2 linked regions of the Stegostoma tigrinum genome follow. Each later gene encodes a partner of the first gene's protein in a complex. Links are inferred from orthologs where the notes say so. Each region holds a gene or a part of one and is shown in the gene's direction. Other genes may lie near its edges. The genes, in order: cnot10 and cnot6l.

Region 1 (9,849 bases):
CTGAGCGCCCCCACCCCACCTCCCCTCCCTTCACCCTCCGCCCCGGGCACTCACTGAGCGCCCCCACCCCACCCCACCTCCCTTCACCCCCCCGCCCCGGGCACTCACTGAGCGCTCACCCCCCACCCCACCTCCCTTCACCCCCCCCCGCCCCGGGCACTCACTGAGCGCTCACCCCCCACCCCACCTCCCTTCACCCCCCCCCGCCCCGGGCACTCACTGAGCGCTCACCCCCCACCCCACCTCCCTTCACCCCCCCGCCCCGGGCACTCACTGAGCGCTCACCCCCCACCCCACCTCCCTTCACCCCCCACCCCACCTCCCTTCACCCCCCCGCCCCGGGCACTCACTGAGCGCCCCCACCCCACCTCCCCTCCCTTCACCCCCCGCCCCGGGCACTCACTGAGCGCCCCCACCCCACCTCCCCTCCCTTCACCCCCCGCCCCGGGCACTCACTGAGCGCCCCCACCCCACCCCACCTCCCTTCACCCCCCCGCCCCGGGCACTCACTGAGCACCCCACCCCACCCCACCTCCCTTCACCCCCCCGCCCCGGGCACTCACTGAGCGCTCACCCCCCACCCCACCTCCCTTCACCCCCCCGCCCCGGGCACTCACTGAGCGCTCACCCCCCACCCCACCTCCCTTCACCCCCCGCCCCGGGCACTCACTGAGCGCTCACCCCCCCACCCCACCCCACCCCACCTCTCTTCACCCCCCGCCCCGGGCACTCACTGAGCCCCCCCACCTCTCTTCAGCCCGCCATCCCGGGCACTCACCCCAAAACCCCGAGCTCTAACCGTTAACCGTGTCCGCTCGCGATCCTGCGCAGCTGCAATGCGAGCGGCGCCCAGTGTTAGCGGCCAGAACTGTTGCGGCGCCTGAAAAAAGAGGATCCGGAAGAAAGGTCAAAGGGCGGGTCCTTTACTGAGAAGGAGGGAGTTGTGAATTGGTCATAGAATCCCTACAGTGTGGAAACAGGCCCTTCAGCCCTACGAGTCCACAGCGAACCTCACAGCATCCCACCCAGACCCATCCCCCGAATCTACACCTTCCTGAATTAAGCATGACCAAACCACCTAACCTGCACATCTTTGGACTATGGGAGGAAACCCATGCAAACACGGGGAGAATGTCTGCGCGGAGTCTGCACAGATGCCAGAGGCTGGAATCAAACCCGGGTCCCTGGCGCTGTGAAGCAGCAGTGCTAACTGCTGTGCCACTGTGTGTCATCTAGGCTAATCATGCATTACAGGTCAGTTATCTCAGTCACAAGATATCAAAGCTAAGAATGTATCCATTTCTTTCGACCTTCCCACAAATTTCATGACACATCTCTCTGATAGTTTCCTGGATCATAATCCACCTCAGTGCTTGTGTTATGAAAGATCAACAGAAAGTTACTGCTGTCTGCAGCAACAAGAACAAAACCATACTCTCAGTTTCGCAAACCTTGAGTGGGACGGAAGTTTCAAAGCAATGCAATTTATGAAGAAGCAAGGTGTATTATTCAAGCAGGATAGAGCAATCTTTTATTTCTAGGAAAGGGAATGAATTGATTTATAAGTGAGCTTTGTTATTCCAGTGGGATGCATACCTAAAGTGTTCTCTGGGCAGCGCAATTCATCCAATATAAATTTAAAAAAGCCATACCAACACAAGCACTGTAAATTCAGCAGAATTACAGGTCACAAAAGGTATACATGAACTGCAGACTTACAGGCCGAGCCAATGTCTGATGCTCAGAATTATTTGGAAATACAGGAACAGGAGTACACGCTGATGTTGGTGGTTGTAAATGCTCTTGAGGAAATTTTAAATCTAGGAAAGGAAAAACCATCCTCAGCACTAAGTCTTTCGTCCTCTATCTTCCTGAAGACACTGATCTACAAAGTTCGCCATGAGTGGCATCAGCATTCTGCTATTTAACACAAGGACCCCTTTTCAATACAACAGTAAGTAAATTCAATAGTTGATGAGAAAGGACATTAAGCTCAGAACCTCTTTTCCACTCAATCACTGGACTGAACTAAATTAGTTGGCAAGATTGCAATGGATTGTTTAGTCAGACTCAGGATGCTGAAGGAGCTGAGTCGGGAGGGGAGATAAAGGAGCAGTCTGGTAGTTTATCAGGAAGGTCGTCCCCTGAAGGCACTCAACTGACCGCTGCTTAAATAAACGGTACCTAGACACTGAGCAAAAGCAGGATGAGAATCACCTTTGTTAAGCCTCTGTCAAACCGACTGTTGCCAATTCTTGGCTAAGCTCATGCATGAATGCTGTTTGTACTGAGTAGCTAACAGCTGCTGCCTCACACTTTCTGGAAAGTATTAGCAGAAAACCAGGCATGGGTTTAAAGCTTTTCCTCCTCTCAAACATAAACCCACATAATTTAACGCATTCTCTGAAATTTAATGTGTCTTTTAAAAGTACAAGTCTACTTTACACAAGTAGATAAGAATTGGATGATGGTTTACATAGTGGGGACTCTGAGAGAATGTTGTTGTTATAACACTCACTTACCCCCACTCACTGACACCTCTAATCTAACTAATTGAGAGACTGAATATCTGAGCCTAAAAAGAAAGGGTTAGAGTGAGTGACATTGGAGAGAGGTCCAGAGGGTGTGACTGTTCGGGAGAAGAACTTTTTGGGGGGGGGAGAGAGAGAGACAGAGTGACTATTGGATAGAAACCCAGAAAGAAAGGGCGAGAGAGAATAATCAGTTGAGAGAAGTCCAGAGAGCAGAAACTAGTTGAGTGACCCAAAGAGAGAGAGAATGTAACATACAGACAGTGGTCTGGACAAAGTAAGCTCCCAGATAGTGAGAGACCTTCAGGGAAGGATCCGTGGGCAGAATCATAGAACTTTTCAGCACAGCAGAAGGCTTTTTGTGCACTGGCCCCTGAACAAGCTCGTCCCATTCTCCAGCCCTGTGTCCATAGCTCTCTGTATTCATCATGTTCAAATATATATTCAGCTCTCTTAAATATCCTATGGAATCCACCTCCATCCCAGGCACCGCATGCCAAATACCTCTGATGCTGCTTGGCCTGCTGTGTCCACCTAGCTCGACACCTTGTTATCTCACATGCCAAATCCAAACAAGTCTCTGAGTAAAGAAGTTTCTCCTCATCTTACGAGATAATAAAATGTGAGGCTGGATGAACACAGCAGGCCCAGCAGCATCTCAGGAGCACAAAAGCTGACGTTTCGGGCCTAGACCCTCCATCAGAGAGGGGAATGGGGTGAGGGTTCTGGAATAAAAAAAATTTCAGAACCCTCACCCCATCCCCCTCTCTGATGAAGGGTCTAGGCCCGAAACGTCAGCTTTTGTGCTCCTGAGATGCTGCTGGGCCTGCTGTGTTCATCCAGCCTCACATTTTATTATCTTGGATTCTCCAGCATCTGCAGTTCCCATTATCACTGATACAACTTCTCCTCATCTTACTCCTTGTCCTCTCGCTGACAATCTTGAAAATGTAACTCCTAGTTGCTGATACACTAAATGGTAGAAACAGAATACCTCCTTTACCCTGTCAAAATTGTTCTAAAATTTGAATACCTTGAAAGGGCAACACTTTGTCTTCTCTGCTGTAGGGAGAGTGAGTTCAATTTCTATGATCTTCTATCTAATTTCTGTCATTCCTAGTGTCATTTGCACTCTCTCCAGGGCTTTAATACCTTTCCTTAAATAAGGAGCCCGGAACTGAACACTATGTTCCAAATATGATCTGACAAATGATTTAATATGACCAATGACGTAGTATTACTTCCCTGCTTTTATGCTGTATACTGTATTTACACAGCTCACAGGTGCATAACAGCTGTCAACATCATTAAAGACACATTGCTCCCTGGTTATGACCTCCTAGAACCTCTTACATCAGGCAGAAGACACAGAAACCCAAACACATGCACAAGCTTCAGAAACAGCTTCTTTCCGGCCATTATCAGACTGATGAATGGACTCTGGACTCTAGCCTCAAATAACGCAACCTGCAATGAAACCTGTATGCCTCTAATTCTTTTTGATCTGCTTGCCTGGCCACTTTCAGAGAATTCTGCACTTGAATCCTGAGGTCCCTCTGCTCCTGTGCTCCCTTTAAAGTTGTATCATTCAGCCTGTAATGTCTTTCCAGGTTTCTTCTATCAAATGTGTTACTTCACATTTGTATGCATTGACATTCATCTGCCAGGCATTTGCCCAGGTTGCCAAATTGGCATTGTCTCCCTGATGTCACTCAACGTCATCTTTACAATTTGCAATTCTCTTAGCTTAGTATCCTCTGCAAATATAGAGACTTTGTCCTCAGCAACCATCTCAGCAGTCAATTATATCAATCAGAAAAGTCAAGAATCCCTACACTGATCCCTTGGAAACATCATTGACAACTTGTCTTTAGTCTGAGAAATACCCATCTATACTTACCCTCTGTTTTCTATCATTTAACATACAGAGTGGTCAAGAGAGAGAAAATAACTGATAGAAAGTCAATGATCCAGACAAAGTAAGCTATAAAGAGAATGGAGGAGCAAATTACTGCAGATGCTGAAATCTGTACTGAAAATAACAAATGTTGGAAATCACGGCGGGTCAGACAGCATCCATGGAGAGAGAACAAGCTATTGTTTTGAGTCTAGATGATTCTTCATCAGAGCCCTGATGAAGAGTCGTCTAGACTCCAAATGTTAGTTTGCTCTCTGTCCAAGGATGGTGTCTGGCCCACTGTGACCTCCAGCATTTGTTGTTTTCAGTAAGCCATACAGAGAGATTCACAGGAAAAGAATAAATCGTAATGAGAGACCAAGAATGACCCAGAGAATGACCGATACACTGACAGTCTATGTCACTGATCCTAACCCCTCCATGGTGTACCTCACTGTCCTCCCAACATGTAGCAGCTTTAATGTTTATATTTGCATTTATCTGCCCAATTGCGTGTAAGTACTCCTTTGTAACCTGTGGCACAGTGGCTCAGTGGTTAGCACTGCAGCCTCACAGCACCAGGAACCCTGGTTCAATTCCAGCCTTGGGTTACTATCTGTGTGGAGTTTGTACATTCTCTTTGTGTCTGCATGGGTTTTCTCCCACAGTCCAAAGATGTGCAGGCTAGGTGGATTGGCCATCCTAAATTACCCATAGTGTTTAGGGGGATGGATCTGGGTGGGATGCTCCAAAAGGTGGGGTGGAATTGTTAGGCCGAAGGGCCTGTTTCCACACTGTAGGGAATTTAATCTCTTAAAAAAAACCTGCATTGGAATTTGTGTTTTACATGTCTGCAGAGTTCAATTTATAATTGTTTCCTATATCCAGCTCATTCCTATGAAATGGAAATGGTATTGACCACCCTCTCTGCATTACTGTCAGGATAAGGATTTGAATACTTAGTACTGAGATGGAGGAAATCTTCATTCAAAGTTTGCAAATATTCCGTATTATCTATAAATTCATTCAGTACCTTGTTCAAACATATTCTCCACCCGTCATGGTCGTATTATTCGATGTTTCGTTTCTAAATTAATATTTCCTGTTTAATATTGTCCCACTTTCTACTGGAAATGTCCTCACCTTGCTTTTAACATAATTTATATGGACAATGAGGTATATAATTGAGATTTTATTTGTAATATTTTATAACTTCAATGCTCATTCCCTTTTCCACTACTAAACCCATTCATTAAACTGCTAGAGCAGATAAAGAGTATTATCTGTAATACTCTTTACGTTTTTTATCCAAGAATTGATGTGATGGATAGCTAATGGGTTCAATATTGTTAATGGACGGACTTGTTCTATTTTTTACATTTAAGCATATCAAATATCACCACAGGACCAGGTGCATTAATTGTATGTTCTATTTTTACAATGCATCCTATACGCGATGCAATATTTGATATTTCCTACAGTATAGCGTACAACATTATAATTCCATAGGATTTGGTATATTGCATATTATATTTCTTTAGGGTGTATTACACTGTAATGTAATGAATATACAAGATGCACCAAGGATAGCCTCTTACAGGAAGTGACGCTCATTAGATGCGCCTGGATGACTGATTTCCGGCGGGGCCTTGGGTACACGGTACTACACCTTACCCGGCTCTGGGGCTTGGGCTCCTTCCCCGTCCTGGGGAGGGGGGGCGGAAGAAGTGAATGGGAATCATGTCAGATCCTTCTGCGGCGAGTAATGGAGGTGAGGGGTCTAGGGTCGGTAAGGAAGTTGTGTGTGTGTGTTTGTGCGCGTGTGCGTGTGCGCACACGTACGGGGACGGACACTTGTGAATTGTGAAGGTGGTGAATCAATTCCAGTCTAGAATCTGAAATATATTTGTTTAGCCACAAAGCAGTTGGAGTCTCAACCTGTCTGTCTCGAAGGATGGTAGATCACACAATCTCACAAGACTTTAAAAGTATTTTCATGTTCATTTGCTGGAACCAAAGAGGATTATGGACTAAGTGCTGCAAGGTGGGTTAAGCTGGGTAACTGTATTTGTACTAAATGGCCTCATTCTGTGCCATAAGACAGATAGTGCTGTCCTGACTGCTCAGTGACAGAGTAAGCATGTTTAAAAAAAACTGTTGAGGTAGTTAAAAATTTTTAACTGAAGTGATGTTTTCTGTAAAATATGCTGAAATGCATAAATTACAACTATGTAATTTTCAATGCCAGCTAAAACTCTTCACTGAAATGCTCAAGCTGATTATACCCCTGTTGTTGTCACCATCCATTTCAATTTCTTTCAAAACATTTATTCATTACCCCTCTAAATGAGTTGTTTTGATTTTGGTTTGTAGTTACATTCTCTGGGTTTTGTAGAATGAGAGGTGATCTCATTGAAGCAGATAAAATTCTGACAGGGTATGGGCTGACAGACTGTTTCTCCCTGGCTAGGTGGTGAAAATGTAATCCCATGATAAGGAGTTTATGAATGAGATGAAAAATTCCTTCACTTTTGCAGAAGCTCAAGACTGATTTTAGCTAAGTTTTTATTGGTTCAGAAGAAACTGCAGATTTTTAGAATGTGAGGAAAGAAATTGTAATATGAGAAACAGATATGCTAAATAAATGTCTTTGTTTTGTTTTGTAGATCAGAATACTGATGTGAAAACAGAGAGTAATTCTCTTTCTTCAGGGGTTGCTGACCATGTCAAGGAGCTTGCAAACAATGCTTATCAGGCTTACACTGTAAGTATTACATTATAAAGAGTTACCATGAAATCAAGTTTCATGGGCCAAGACAATTGCAATATTTCTTTTCTATTAATTCCGTTGATTGAATTTCATGGCCAGTTAATTTTTGTTCCAGGCTTTTGAGTTGTTACGATTAGCATAGTCTTCCACGCTGTTCGTGTCAATAGAAAAAGACACTTCCATAAACAGCTGTGTGTCTTCTATAATCTGAAACTTAATGCCTGAAGTGTGATATGCAAGGGAATAACATGGTACTGTTATTCTCTACACCACTGAATAGGAAATGAATTGAGCTCCTTTTTCTGAAACTTAACACAGGTAGCAGCAGTTAGATTTATTTCCATGTAAATAACACCGAATTAAATGATCATAAGTAATGATATTTGCACATATTGTACTATATCATAAAGTTGTTCTTCAGGATTTTTTGACCAAATGATCATAATGTAACATTTTCAGCAGTTTCCTGTTGTTTGCTGTTATTGTTACAATGTGATAATGGGTCAAGAACAAGACAGTACACGCATGCGCATGTACACATGCTGTCATCCAATTTTGAGTCCTGGTAAGAAGAAAAAAAATTGGTGGTTCTTGTAGTGTCTGTAGTGTCCTCATCTGCTGAGTCAGGACACCTGGGTTCAAGTCTGCTCTAAGAGGTGTGTGATAACATCTGTGACACATTGAGTCAAAATTTCTAAAATGGTAATTGTTGAAGTTAGCTTGTTTTCTATTTCAATAGAACGGAGTATGGGAATTTACAGTTTGAGGTATGACAGAAATTTCCAGCTGTTATCAGGATGACAGGATTCAATGTGCTCGCTCCTTGTTTACCGAGTGCACCAGTCGGTCTATTTCATTTGTTTCCCCTCCCCTAACAGCATCTTACATACTGTGATTTATTAAAACTGCATCAGTGTTTATTTGGATGTATGAACTATGAAGTTCCAGAAAATTGTTTGCTGCAAACAGCGGTTGATTTTATATACATTTTCTTAATTTTGCCGTAGTCCGGACAGTTTGACGCTTGTCTGCAATATCTGGGTCATCTGCAAGAGCTGAACAAAGATGATTACAAAATATCTCTGAATAAAGCGGTGGCAGAGTTCTACAAAAATGGACAGACTTTGACAGATACCTTAAGGCAGACTCTCAACCTGTTGAAAAATCAGGTAAAACTGATAAACCGTAAATGTTTTAAGAGATACCAAGGTGTCGAATTGTTTGAACGCAGCAGGCCAAGCAGCATCAGAGGAGCAGGAAGGCTGACGTTTTGGGCCTAGACCCTTCTTCAGGTCTAGGCTCGAAACGTCAGCCATCCTGGTCTTCTGATGCTGCTAGGCCTGCTGTGTTCACGCAGCTCTGCACCTTGATATCTCAGATTCTCCGGCATCTGCAGTTCCTACTATCTCTGAAACAATGTTGTTTTAACTCTGTGTATTCTGTATGAGATGTTAGTAAAGAATGTCCTTTGAGACAGCCTCCCCAAAAAGGCCTTTTTGTTTTAAAACAACATCTCAATGCATGATTTAATGGGGTACTACAGTATAACAACTGCAGCCATAATTGCTGAATCACATCTGGTACCTTGCATCAATTATTACTTTTCATCCAGCATCAAATGGTTTTTGCCATTTCCTAATTCATACACTTAATAATTTTAAACTCTTCACCACGTGGTTAATTTTCCCCTGTCAGTTGATGTCATCTGTGTACTCGACCATTTAAAATTGCAAAATTGTAACAGAATTAGGCTAGACGTAGCAATGTATAGAGCTGGATGAACACATCAGGCCAAGCAGCAACAAAGGAGCAGGCTGCTTGACCTGCAGTGTTCATCCAGCTCTACACCTTGTCATCTCACATTCTGCAGTTCCCGCTTTCTCTGAAATAGAATTAGACTAGTCAGTTTGTTTTGCCATTGTCATGTAAGTTCCTGTTTAAAGCTGAGATGTGAAGGAATTTAAGCTGTGAAGGCCTAGAGTCTTTGGAATGCCCTTCCCCAGAGAGCAGTGGAGGCCAGGTCATTAAATAAGAACCGAAATAACTGCTGATGCTGTAAATAACGGAGTTAATTCTGGTTTGCTGCAGTGTTCCAGCGAAGCTTAATGCAAGCTGGAAGAACAACGCGTCATTTTCCACTTGGGGACCCTGCAGCTCTCCAGACTCAATATATCGAATTCAATAATTTTAAGGCCTAATCTCCCATGCCATAGCTTCCCCCACCGCCCCCCACTCCAACCCCAGACACCAGGCCTTATCACAAAGCCTGCCATTGCACACTACCTATTGTTATGTCATTAACAATGCCCATTAACAGCTATTCACCCTCCTACCCAGAACGTTAGCAACTCCTTTGTCTACCCAACTGTTCTTGTCTCTCTCTGGGCTCTATCCTATAGTTTACTCCCTACACCATCCCACTCACTATTTTCTGCATGAAACCTACGTTTTCCTAACTGCTGTCAGTTTTGAGGATGGGTCACTGGACCTGAAACGTTAACTCTGATTTTTTTTTTTTTCTTTGCAGCTGCTGCCAGACCTGGTGAGCTTCTCCAGCAACTTTTGTTTTTGTGCCAGGTCATTGAATATGCTCAGGGCTATATTAGACCCTCTTTTGGTTGACGAGGGGGCCTAAGATCAAGAGATAGTCA
Region 2 (9,027 bases), on another chromosome or scaffold:
GGGAGAGTTGTGAGGTAGGGATGAGGGGGTGCTGTCGGTGGGGGGGTGGGGGATGAGTTTTTGTTTACTCAAAATTTTGTTCATACTTAAAATTTCTGCCTGAAAGGGTGGTGGAAATAATTTCAGTATCTTTCAAAAGGGAACAAATATCCTAAAAAGGGGAAACTTTTTTGGCTTTCGAGAAATTGAAAGGAATTGCCGTTAAATTGTTTCACTCTTTCAAAGATCTGGCACAGGAATGATGGGCGAACAGCCTGCGTTTGTGCTGTAAAAGTCAATGATCAAAACATGAAATCATGATAGTGCTGCATGACAGAACACAATGTAACCAATTTAAATAAAAGATTTGGTTGTTTGACAGTCATTTTGTCACGTCTACCATTGGAAACATTTTCTCTGTAAAGACCTCTCATGATGTTGAACAATTCTATCAAACCTTCTTTCAACCTTATCTCTCTAAAATGAACATGCCCGGTTTCTCTAATTTGTATAAGCAGCTAAAGATCCTCATTCCTGTTTTATTTAAGTAAATCTTTTCTGTATTCTCTCTAAGGCCTTTCTCATCTGCAGAGTGTAGTGCCCAGAATTGTGGCTGGACTGATGTTTTAGAAAGGCTTTTTTGTACTGTCTGATAATTTTGTCTGGATTATCATTTCTAAAGGCTACTCCAAAACCGAGATTGGCCTACGGTTGCTGGCTTTATTTTGACACCCTTTTGTGAGCAGGAGTAAAACATTTCAGTTCTCTAGTCCTTTGGTACTATTTCTGTATCAAAAAGAATTGTAAGACAATGGTCAGTGCTTCTGCAATTTCCAGCCGACTTGCCAAGCATCTTTGGACACTTACCTTGAACCTTGAAGTTTATCTATTTTAAGTACAGCCAGCCTTGTAAAACACACTTTTCATCAATTATTAGCCATTCTGAACTATTTCCATCTTTACTGTGATTTTCCTTTTTCCTGGTAAAGAGAGATGTAACATACTCGTTTTAGTACTTGGGAAATGACTTCTGCTTCCAAGCAATGCGTTTAGTTTAGTTTCTATGCCTACCTTTTATTAACCATCTATTCTTGCTTACATATCTATAATAAACATTTATATTCTTTTGGCCTTTTTTCACTTGGCTGCAGTTACAATAAAAATTCATTGCGCTCACTAGGAAATATCATTTAGAGAGAGAGAGAAGTTCCTTAGTGGGATCATGCATTCCCTGCCTGGGTCTCCTTGCCTATCCAGGGTTCACCTATTCCTTTTTTATCTCCCCATAATAAGACATGGGATGACACCCACTGGAAACATGCTTTCCAGATAGCCCTCAGATATGTGGATGCATCAAAGTGCCCTGAGCTATTGCTCAAGCATCAAAATCTGGAGCTCAGCTTCCAAGCTGACAACATTTCCTGCTCATATTGTTGACACAGACATGAGAAGCCCCCTGGAATTTCCACATGCTACAGGATATGTGTTTGACAGAGCTGAGGTACACTGCAATGTCTCTGTTTATTAATAACTTGCCAAGTTTGGGAGAAATAAAATTTAAATCTTGAAATAATTTAAGACTTAGAATTTATAACCTCACACTTTTAAACTGGTTGAATTATTCTTGTTTCTCATTTCAGATTCTTATCTTCATACTCACCCAAAATTACAAATTAGGATTCTGATACAAGTTTCTCTCTGCAGTGTGTCTGATGTCACTTTATACTCATAGATCACAGAATAACATACCAGCCTTGTCAACCCCTGCTTTAGAGGCAGTAAAGGTAGAAAAGCAAGGGAAAAAAAGCATTCTGAGGGTATGAAATAGAGGTAGTAATGAACGATGCCGCAACAGTGGAAGTAAGTAAAATTGTGATTGTGGATTGAAACTTAACAACAACAACATTACATTTATATAGCCATTTTATTACAATGAAAAATTCCAAGAAAATTCATAATAACATTACAAAACAATCTATGATAACAAATACGGAGTTGCTAGGTTGTATAACAAAATGTTTGGCCAAGAAGGTAGGGTGTGGGATGGCAGGGTGGGATACATAGGGGTCCATTGGAACCCAATGACCAGGCCTGTACGTTCTCGTGGGGACTTCCGCTGGGCTGATGTTGGGCTAGTGGAATCATTGTACATGTGTCAGGGTAGGGCTGGGTCCTGGAGCATGGGGTTGGATGTGGTGTGTATCCTTGAGGCATTGGCAAGACTGGTAGTTGCAGGCTACTGTGCTTAGGTTGGGGAAGTCGGGTCACTAATCAGGACCTGGGCTGTTTGGACTGGGGCCTCTTATGCTCAGATCAGGGTGGGGTTTCTGTACTTGTGCCTGGGATGGAGGTGCTGTACTTTGGTGGGGTTCAGTTTCCAGCTTGACATTTGGGCCCAGGCCAGAAATAGCACCACAGCTCATGTTTTCTGGCTTGGCCCTTACAAAATGATAGGTTTAAAATGTGTCTTAAAGATGATATTGGATTAGATTGTGGAAATATCTACGGAACAGAGGTGATAGCTGAATAGGACATTGTTGTGAATTATGACACAGGCTGCTGAGTTTCTGATGAGTTCAAGTTCAGAGAAGGTAGGATGCATGTAACCAGCCAGCAGTGTTTTGAAATAGTCGAGTTGGTGAAGGCATGAATGAGGGCGTCTGCACCAAATTAGCTGAGGTGAGATGTTAGAGAGGGGGAAGTAGTTAGTCTTAATGATTGTATAAATATGAGGTTGGCAGCTTGTTTTAGGAACAAATATGACTAAGTTTGTGAACAGACTGGTTAATCTGGGTGGAATCAGTATTTCGGGTTTGGAGTTTGCATTTGAAAATAATGAATTCAGTGCTTTCAGTATTTAGAAAATGGGAGTTATTTCTTCTCAACTAGCTTTAGCTGTTGAATAAACAATCTGATCATTTAGCAACAGTGGAAGAGTTGAGAGAAAATGTGGTGGGGTAGAGGTAGCTGTTAATGTAAAATTGAAATTAATACTTTGAATGATGTTGCTGAGGGGTAGTAGGTGGGTGAGGTAAAGGACGGGGCCGAGGGTAAATTCCTGGGGATGACCAAAAGTATTTATATAGGAGGACGAAGTGAAGCCACTGCAAATGATGGTCTAATTATGATTAGGTAAGTAAGAATTAAGCCATGTGGCAGCATTTCAGTCCTTGCTGGACAACGATGAAGAGATTTTGGCAGAGAATAGTCCGTTCAACTGTGGTAAGAATTGGAGAAATGCCAAGAATGTTGAGAAGAAATTGTGACTTTGATATTAGGGCCATTTTGAATTGTGGCAGGGACAGAATTCTAATTGGCTGAGGCTTGACTCAACTCTGAAGTTACATATAGACCAATCCTGGATGTATCATTTCAAATTAAACATTGGAAAGCCATTATCAACAGCCTTCTCCAGGAATTGGGTTGCTCATTCCATTCCCCACCTTGGCTATGCTGAAACAGTAACCAAACTGCTTATATCCATGGCATCTCATGTCACTTTGAGATTAGCATTCACCCCATATCCTCCCCATCACAAAGACTATTTCCACCTACTAATCTTGATCTGCTCAACTACTGGGAAAAGCCTCCCTATGCTTTGATTACATCTAGGCCTGTCCATTGCAACATAAAAAGTTGTATTTCTAACATGCATTAACATTTTAAAATCTATCAAATAACTTCACAGGAGCATTATAAATAAACCCAAACTCTAACTGACAGCTAATATTAGAGCTGTTGACCAAAAGTAGATGAGGCGAGAGCGATGCAGAATTGGTCAGTATGATGGAAGTGGACAAAAGTAATCTCAATCATGATATGGTTATCTGGTTGAAAATTCATCTTGGGATCAAATATTATACTATAGTTGTGTACAGACAATTGGCAGGGAAAGGAATTTGGTCAGCGGTGCAGGAATATGTTCTTTGACTTCCTGCCTTCCAATCACATGATTTTGACCTAATTCAAAAGAATGATTTCTGGATGCTAACCTACATAAAATCCTGAATACCTATCACATCTGTGCTCATTGTTTCCAGTCATCAATGCCTGAATTTTAAAACTTTTATCCTTTATTTAAACCTTTTGGTTTAAATTCTCACCCTTACCTGTCACCATCTGCTCCAGACTGCAACCTTTCAAGAGCTCTGCCTCCTCCAACCCCTTTGCGCCACGATTGGCACTTGTGCCTTCAGCTGTCCATGCCTCACAATTTGAAATTTTCTTTCTAAATGTCATGCTTTCCCACCAAAACCTTTGCTTTAAGATTTTATGAAACTACCTTCTGGACTGAATTTTTGGTCACTCCAAGTAACTTTTTTTTGCTTGTAATCTATTGTCTATGATTATATATTTTGAAGCGGATTGAAATGTTTCTTTTCTGTAGTACAAACATGTGCTATGCTGTCTGTACATATTGTAAGTGTAAAATGCTGTGTACATTTATGTACAATAAATATATTATGAACAGGGTAAATGTGAACAATAGAAAGTTTGTGCACACGACATTATGAACAGAGTATATGTGGTAAATATTGTGTACATAATACATTACTATTATTCTATGTGATCATACTTATTGTGGACTCTATATTTTGCAAGGTGTATCTTGTTCTCTGTCTATATAATTTGGTGTTATACACTATGCATATTTCACAAGGTTAAATAGAACGCATATTCTTTTATGTTCTATATCATTTCCCCACTTTTACCCATGGGGATAGAGCTGGGGTAGGTTTGATGGGCAGATTGGCCATTGTTCTGTAATTATTTTATGATTATGTCTGGATCCTGAACGTTGAATAGAGTATGTTTGTATTTCGTGACCACTGCATTTTTGCACAGAGTATATAAATTGTTTACATGGTCATACAGATGGTATTAATAGTATAAATTATATATTTTACATGTGTGTATGAACATTGCACACACGGTATAGATCACACATTTATATATATAGTGCACACCCTTTGCTGTACACCAGCTGCTAGGAGGGAGGCGGTCGGTGGAAGGCAGGGCCATGTCAGGGATTCAGTGAGTCCGCTTGGCTCTGGGTGTGAGGTGTGTGTTGTTTTGGTGGGGGGGCATCAGCAATCGGATCGCTCGCTGGCGGGGACGGCGTTGGTGTCTCTCGGTCTTTCCAGCGCCGCGTCTCCGGAGAGATGTGAGCGTCGCTCGGGCTGGAGGTGAGTCTGAGAGCTGGGCCTGAACCTCTCGGTTCCTGGGAGCTGCTGCCTGGGCCCTGTCTCCGGCCTATTGGCGGTTGAGGGGATACCCGGACCTGTGAGCGAGGCCCTGGGGCGGTGGAGGGACGGACAGACATTACAACTGCCTCAGCCCATCGCGGATCGGGGGTTTGAATCCATGTTTTCTTGTTTTGCTGGCCGCAAGAAGCGGGAACCTTGGGGTCTGTATTGATTGACTGGACCCTGAAAGGTAGCGATTGGGGCTTTGTTGCGGGAGGTTCGGAAAGACTTGGTGGTGAAGTTCAGGCACTTCCCCTTCACCTTAATGTTTGTATCGCGATCATAAACCTTTGCTCTGTAGATTTATAGAGTTCCACTTTTAAAGGCTGGAAATTCTATTGATGGCGTATTTGTGAGGGGGGAACTTTATTCTTAGGCAGCAAGTTTTAGAGTTTGGTTTGGTTGTGTTGTGGGCCCATTAGTGGAGAGCTTCAAGGTTTTAAGTGAGATCTTGTTTCCTGTCTCTGAGAAGATATCCTTGCAGAAGAGAAAGTAGAGAATAATAGAGAGGGATATTTTGCCAACTTTTTGATGCTGAGAATTTTCTGCGCAGTAATAACTAATTTTGGTTGCATTATATGTAGCAGACATATCAGCCTGACTTAAAAAGACCAGTGATACTCATTCCACGTGTAATGTAATTGTGTTTTGAGAATTTAAAAGTGATACTTATTATTAGATTGTGCTCTGAAAATTGAATTCAAAATGCTTTTCAACATTGCATCTGGGGTCATTGTAACAGAGGAGAACATTTGGCTTATTGAGTCTGTGCTAGCTCTTGAGCAGTTAGTCCTCTTACTATTTCTGGAGCTTTTCAAACTTATTTCCTCAAACACACCTTCTTTTGAATCAACTCTTTGTTTTTGTTTTTGCTGTTCTTATGCATATAAAGTTGCAGGTCATTTCCACTTGCTGGGGGATTTTTGAGATCTTTCTCCCAATCCACTGTGTGTCTTGCTGAAAGCTTCAAATATGTGCCCCTTAGACTCTGTATGATCAGTTCATGAGAACTGCATATTTTTGGCTTTTATAAGCCTTGTATATCTGTAAATCACCTGTTTCCTCAATGTTTAATTTTGTAGTTGCTAACCATGATGATTATTCATTTTGGGGGCCGATTTAGCTCATTCGGTTTGTTCAGAGTAATGCCAATTGCATGGGTTCAATTCTGCACTAGCTGTGGTTACCATGAAGGGCTGTCCTTCTCAGCCTCTCCCTCACCTGATGCATGTTGATCCTCAGGTTAAACCTCCACCAGTCACCTAACTTTGGGAGGGCAGCAGTATGGTCCGGTAGGACTGTAATGATTTTACCTTTTACCTTTTACCTTTACTCAGGTTCACGTGAGGCAGCATCATTTGTCTTCTGTGTTATTAATAGAACATGTTTTTTTTTCTTTCTTTCATGTAATAAACTTAAGATGTATCTAAGACAATTTTGCCATTGTAGGATCTAACTAAGTCTCAATGCATTCACCAACACTATCCTCCTACAAATCCTCAATTTCACAGAAATGTCACTCCTAGCTAAAGTCTTACGTTTTCACCTAACTGAACTCTCCCAGATTCTTTTCCTTGGACCACAGAGACAGTTTTACAATTCCTTTCTGAGATGAATAGTATGAGCCTTTGACAGTTCTGGTTACCTTCCAGTTCGAGCAATTTGAAGATTTCTATCAACACTGTACAGCTTTAGAAGCTCCACAAGGGAGTTTTTAAAAAAAAATTCATGAGCAGGGTGAGGGCATCACTGGCCAGGCAGCATTTATTGCACGTCCCTAATTGCCCAGAGGGCAGCTGAGTCAAGCATAATTGCTGTGGGTTTGGAGTAACATGTAGGCCATACCAAGTAAGGATGGTGGATTTCCTTCCACAGAGGAAATTAGTGAATCAGGAGGGTTTTTCCTGCAATTGACCGGATTCACTGTCATCATTAGACTCTTAGTGGATTTTGAATGCAATAAATATTTGGACCTATCTGCCGTGATGGGATTTGAAACAGGGTCCCTAGAACATTACCCACGTGTCTGGATTGACAGTCCAGCAATAATACCACTAAGCGATCACCTCCTTTGTGGTGTTGATGTACTGGTGATGTCACTGCAGAATCCCAGGCTAATGTTCTGGGGAAAGGAGTTTGAATTCCACTACGGTAGATGATGAAGTTTGAAATCAATTTAAAAAAATCTGGAATTAAAAGCTAGTTTAATGGTGACCATGTAATCTCTGTTAATTTTCATAAAAACCAATGTGGTTAGTTCATATCCTTTAGGGAAGTCGTCTGACCAATACATGGTTGCAGATCCATAGCAATGTGATTAACCTATAGGTTCCTTCTCTTTTCCAGCGGGGATCTGGGATGGAGAGTTTTGCACGCAGCAGTCCCATGCAAGTACACTGGATCCCAGGCTACACAAAGTTTTGGTGGCCTGAGTGAAACCATTTGTCACATTTATGTTGAATGTTTTCATTTGAAGCCCCTTTTTAGTTTTTGAAGAGGTCATTTCTAATTTTTTTTGGCTCTTCAACCCCATGTTCCTGTTTTACAGGCACCCAGTGTGGGGGAAGTGCAGACAGATCAGAGGGCATCCTTCTGGGTTAGGCCAAAGAGGCTTTAACAGATCCTGACAGCAGGCCATGGAGGTGGTCTTTGTGCCTGACTGCCCTTCATTTGCAGTCATGTCTGCACTTGGTTGGCCATTGAGAGGGAGTGTGCACTGTTCTCTCGCGTGCTAGATGCCTTTAGAGACCTTTAGATGGTACAGGGGCTGGGGTGCATCACCACCCTGGACAATATTATTTTGATTTAATGACTTGCTGTCAGTCGTTTATTTGCAGATTTTGTTTATATTTCCCCACAAAGAGCTTTTTGACTTGATTGAGTAGAAGCTCCATAAGCTAAAACACTTTGGCTAGGGTGACTGATTCGAATAAAAAAAACTTGACTGTTCCACCAGGAGAATTGTTCTCCCTTTTGAATGCACTTAATTTTTCTTTTCTGAGCTGAGACCTTGAACTTTTTGTAGTCAAAGCTGTACTTAAGATTTCTGCTCCTTTGGGCAGTGTGGTGGCACAGTGGTTAGCTCTGCTGCCTTACGGCATCAAGGACCCGGATCCAATTCTAGCTTTAGGTTACTGTGTGGGGTTTGCACGTTTCCTTCATGTCTGTGTAGGTTTCTGCTCTGATTCCCTGCCATAGTATAAAGATGTTGAGGTAGGTGGATTGGCCTTGGGAAATGAGGGTTATAGAGATGGTGTGTGATAGGTCTGGGTGGGATCCCACAGAATCAATACCTGTTGAGAGCAACAAAATCCTCATCTTTGTCTGAAGTGGGTGACCCTTTATTCTGAGATTATGTTCTCTGGTCATAGAGGTCTATCCAGAGCTCAAGGAAAGGCCATTTGGCTCATTGAGTCTGCCCTGGTGGAAAATCAACCACCTGACATTATAATCCCAGTTTTCAACATTTGATCCATAGCCTTGTATGCCTTGGCATTGCAAATGCACACCTAAATACCTCTTAAATGTTATGAGGGTTTCTTTTCTACCAACCTTAGATGCAGTGAATTCCGGATTCCCACGACCGACTGGATGAAAAAAAAGACCTCACATCCCCTCTAAATCTCCTGCCCCTTAGCTTAAATCTAAGCCTTCTGGTCACAGCTCCTTCCAATAAGGGGAAAGGTTCCTTCCAGTTTACCCTATCTGGGCCTCTTACTTTATACATCCCAATCATGTACCCCCCCCCCCCCCCCCCCCCCCGCCAACCCCAGCCAAATCTTCTGTATTCAAAGACAAACGA

What was found.
Region 2: cnot10 (region 1) and cnot6l share a complex: the UniProt entries of both Homo sapiens proteins name them as parts of the CCR4-NOT complex. The link is inferred for Stegostoma tigrinum from reciprocal best matches to the Homo sapiens genes CNOT10 and CNOT6L.

Annotation. Positions count from the first base shown.
Region 1 is NC_081358.1:37,182,917-37,192,765, reverse strand, and holds the start of cnot10 (CCR4-NOT transcription complex subunit 10), read left to right. Parts: upstream 1-6,059; 5' UTR 6,060-6,159; coding exon 6,160-6,199; intron 6,200-7,094; coding exon 7,095-7,192; intron 7,193-8,205; coding exon 8,206-8,367; intron 8,368-9,849. UniProt on the Homo sapiens protein: Component of the CCR4-NOT complex which is one of the major cellular mRNA deadenylases and is linked to various cellular processes including bulk mRNA degradation, miRNA-mediated repression, translational repression during translational initiation and general transcription regulation.
Region 2 is NC_081354.1:70,271,189-70,280,215, reverse strand, and holds the start of cnot6l (CCR4-NOT transcription complex subunit 6-like), read left to right. Parts: upstream 1-4,971; 5' UTR 4,972-5,165; intron 5,166-9,027. UniProt on the Homo sapiens protein: Has 3'-5' poly(A) exoribonuclease activity for synthetic poly(A) RNA substrate.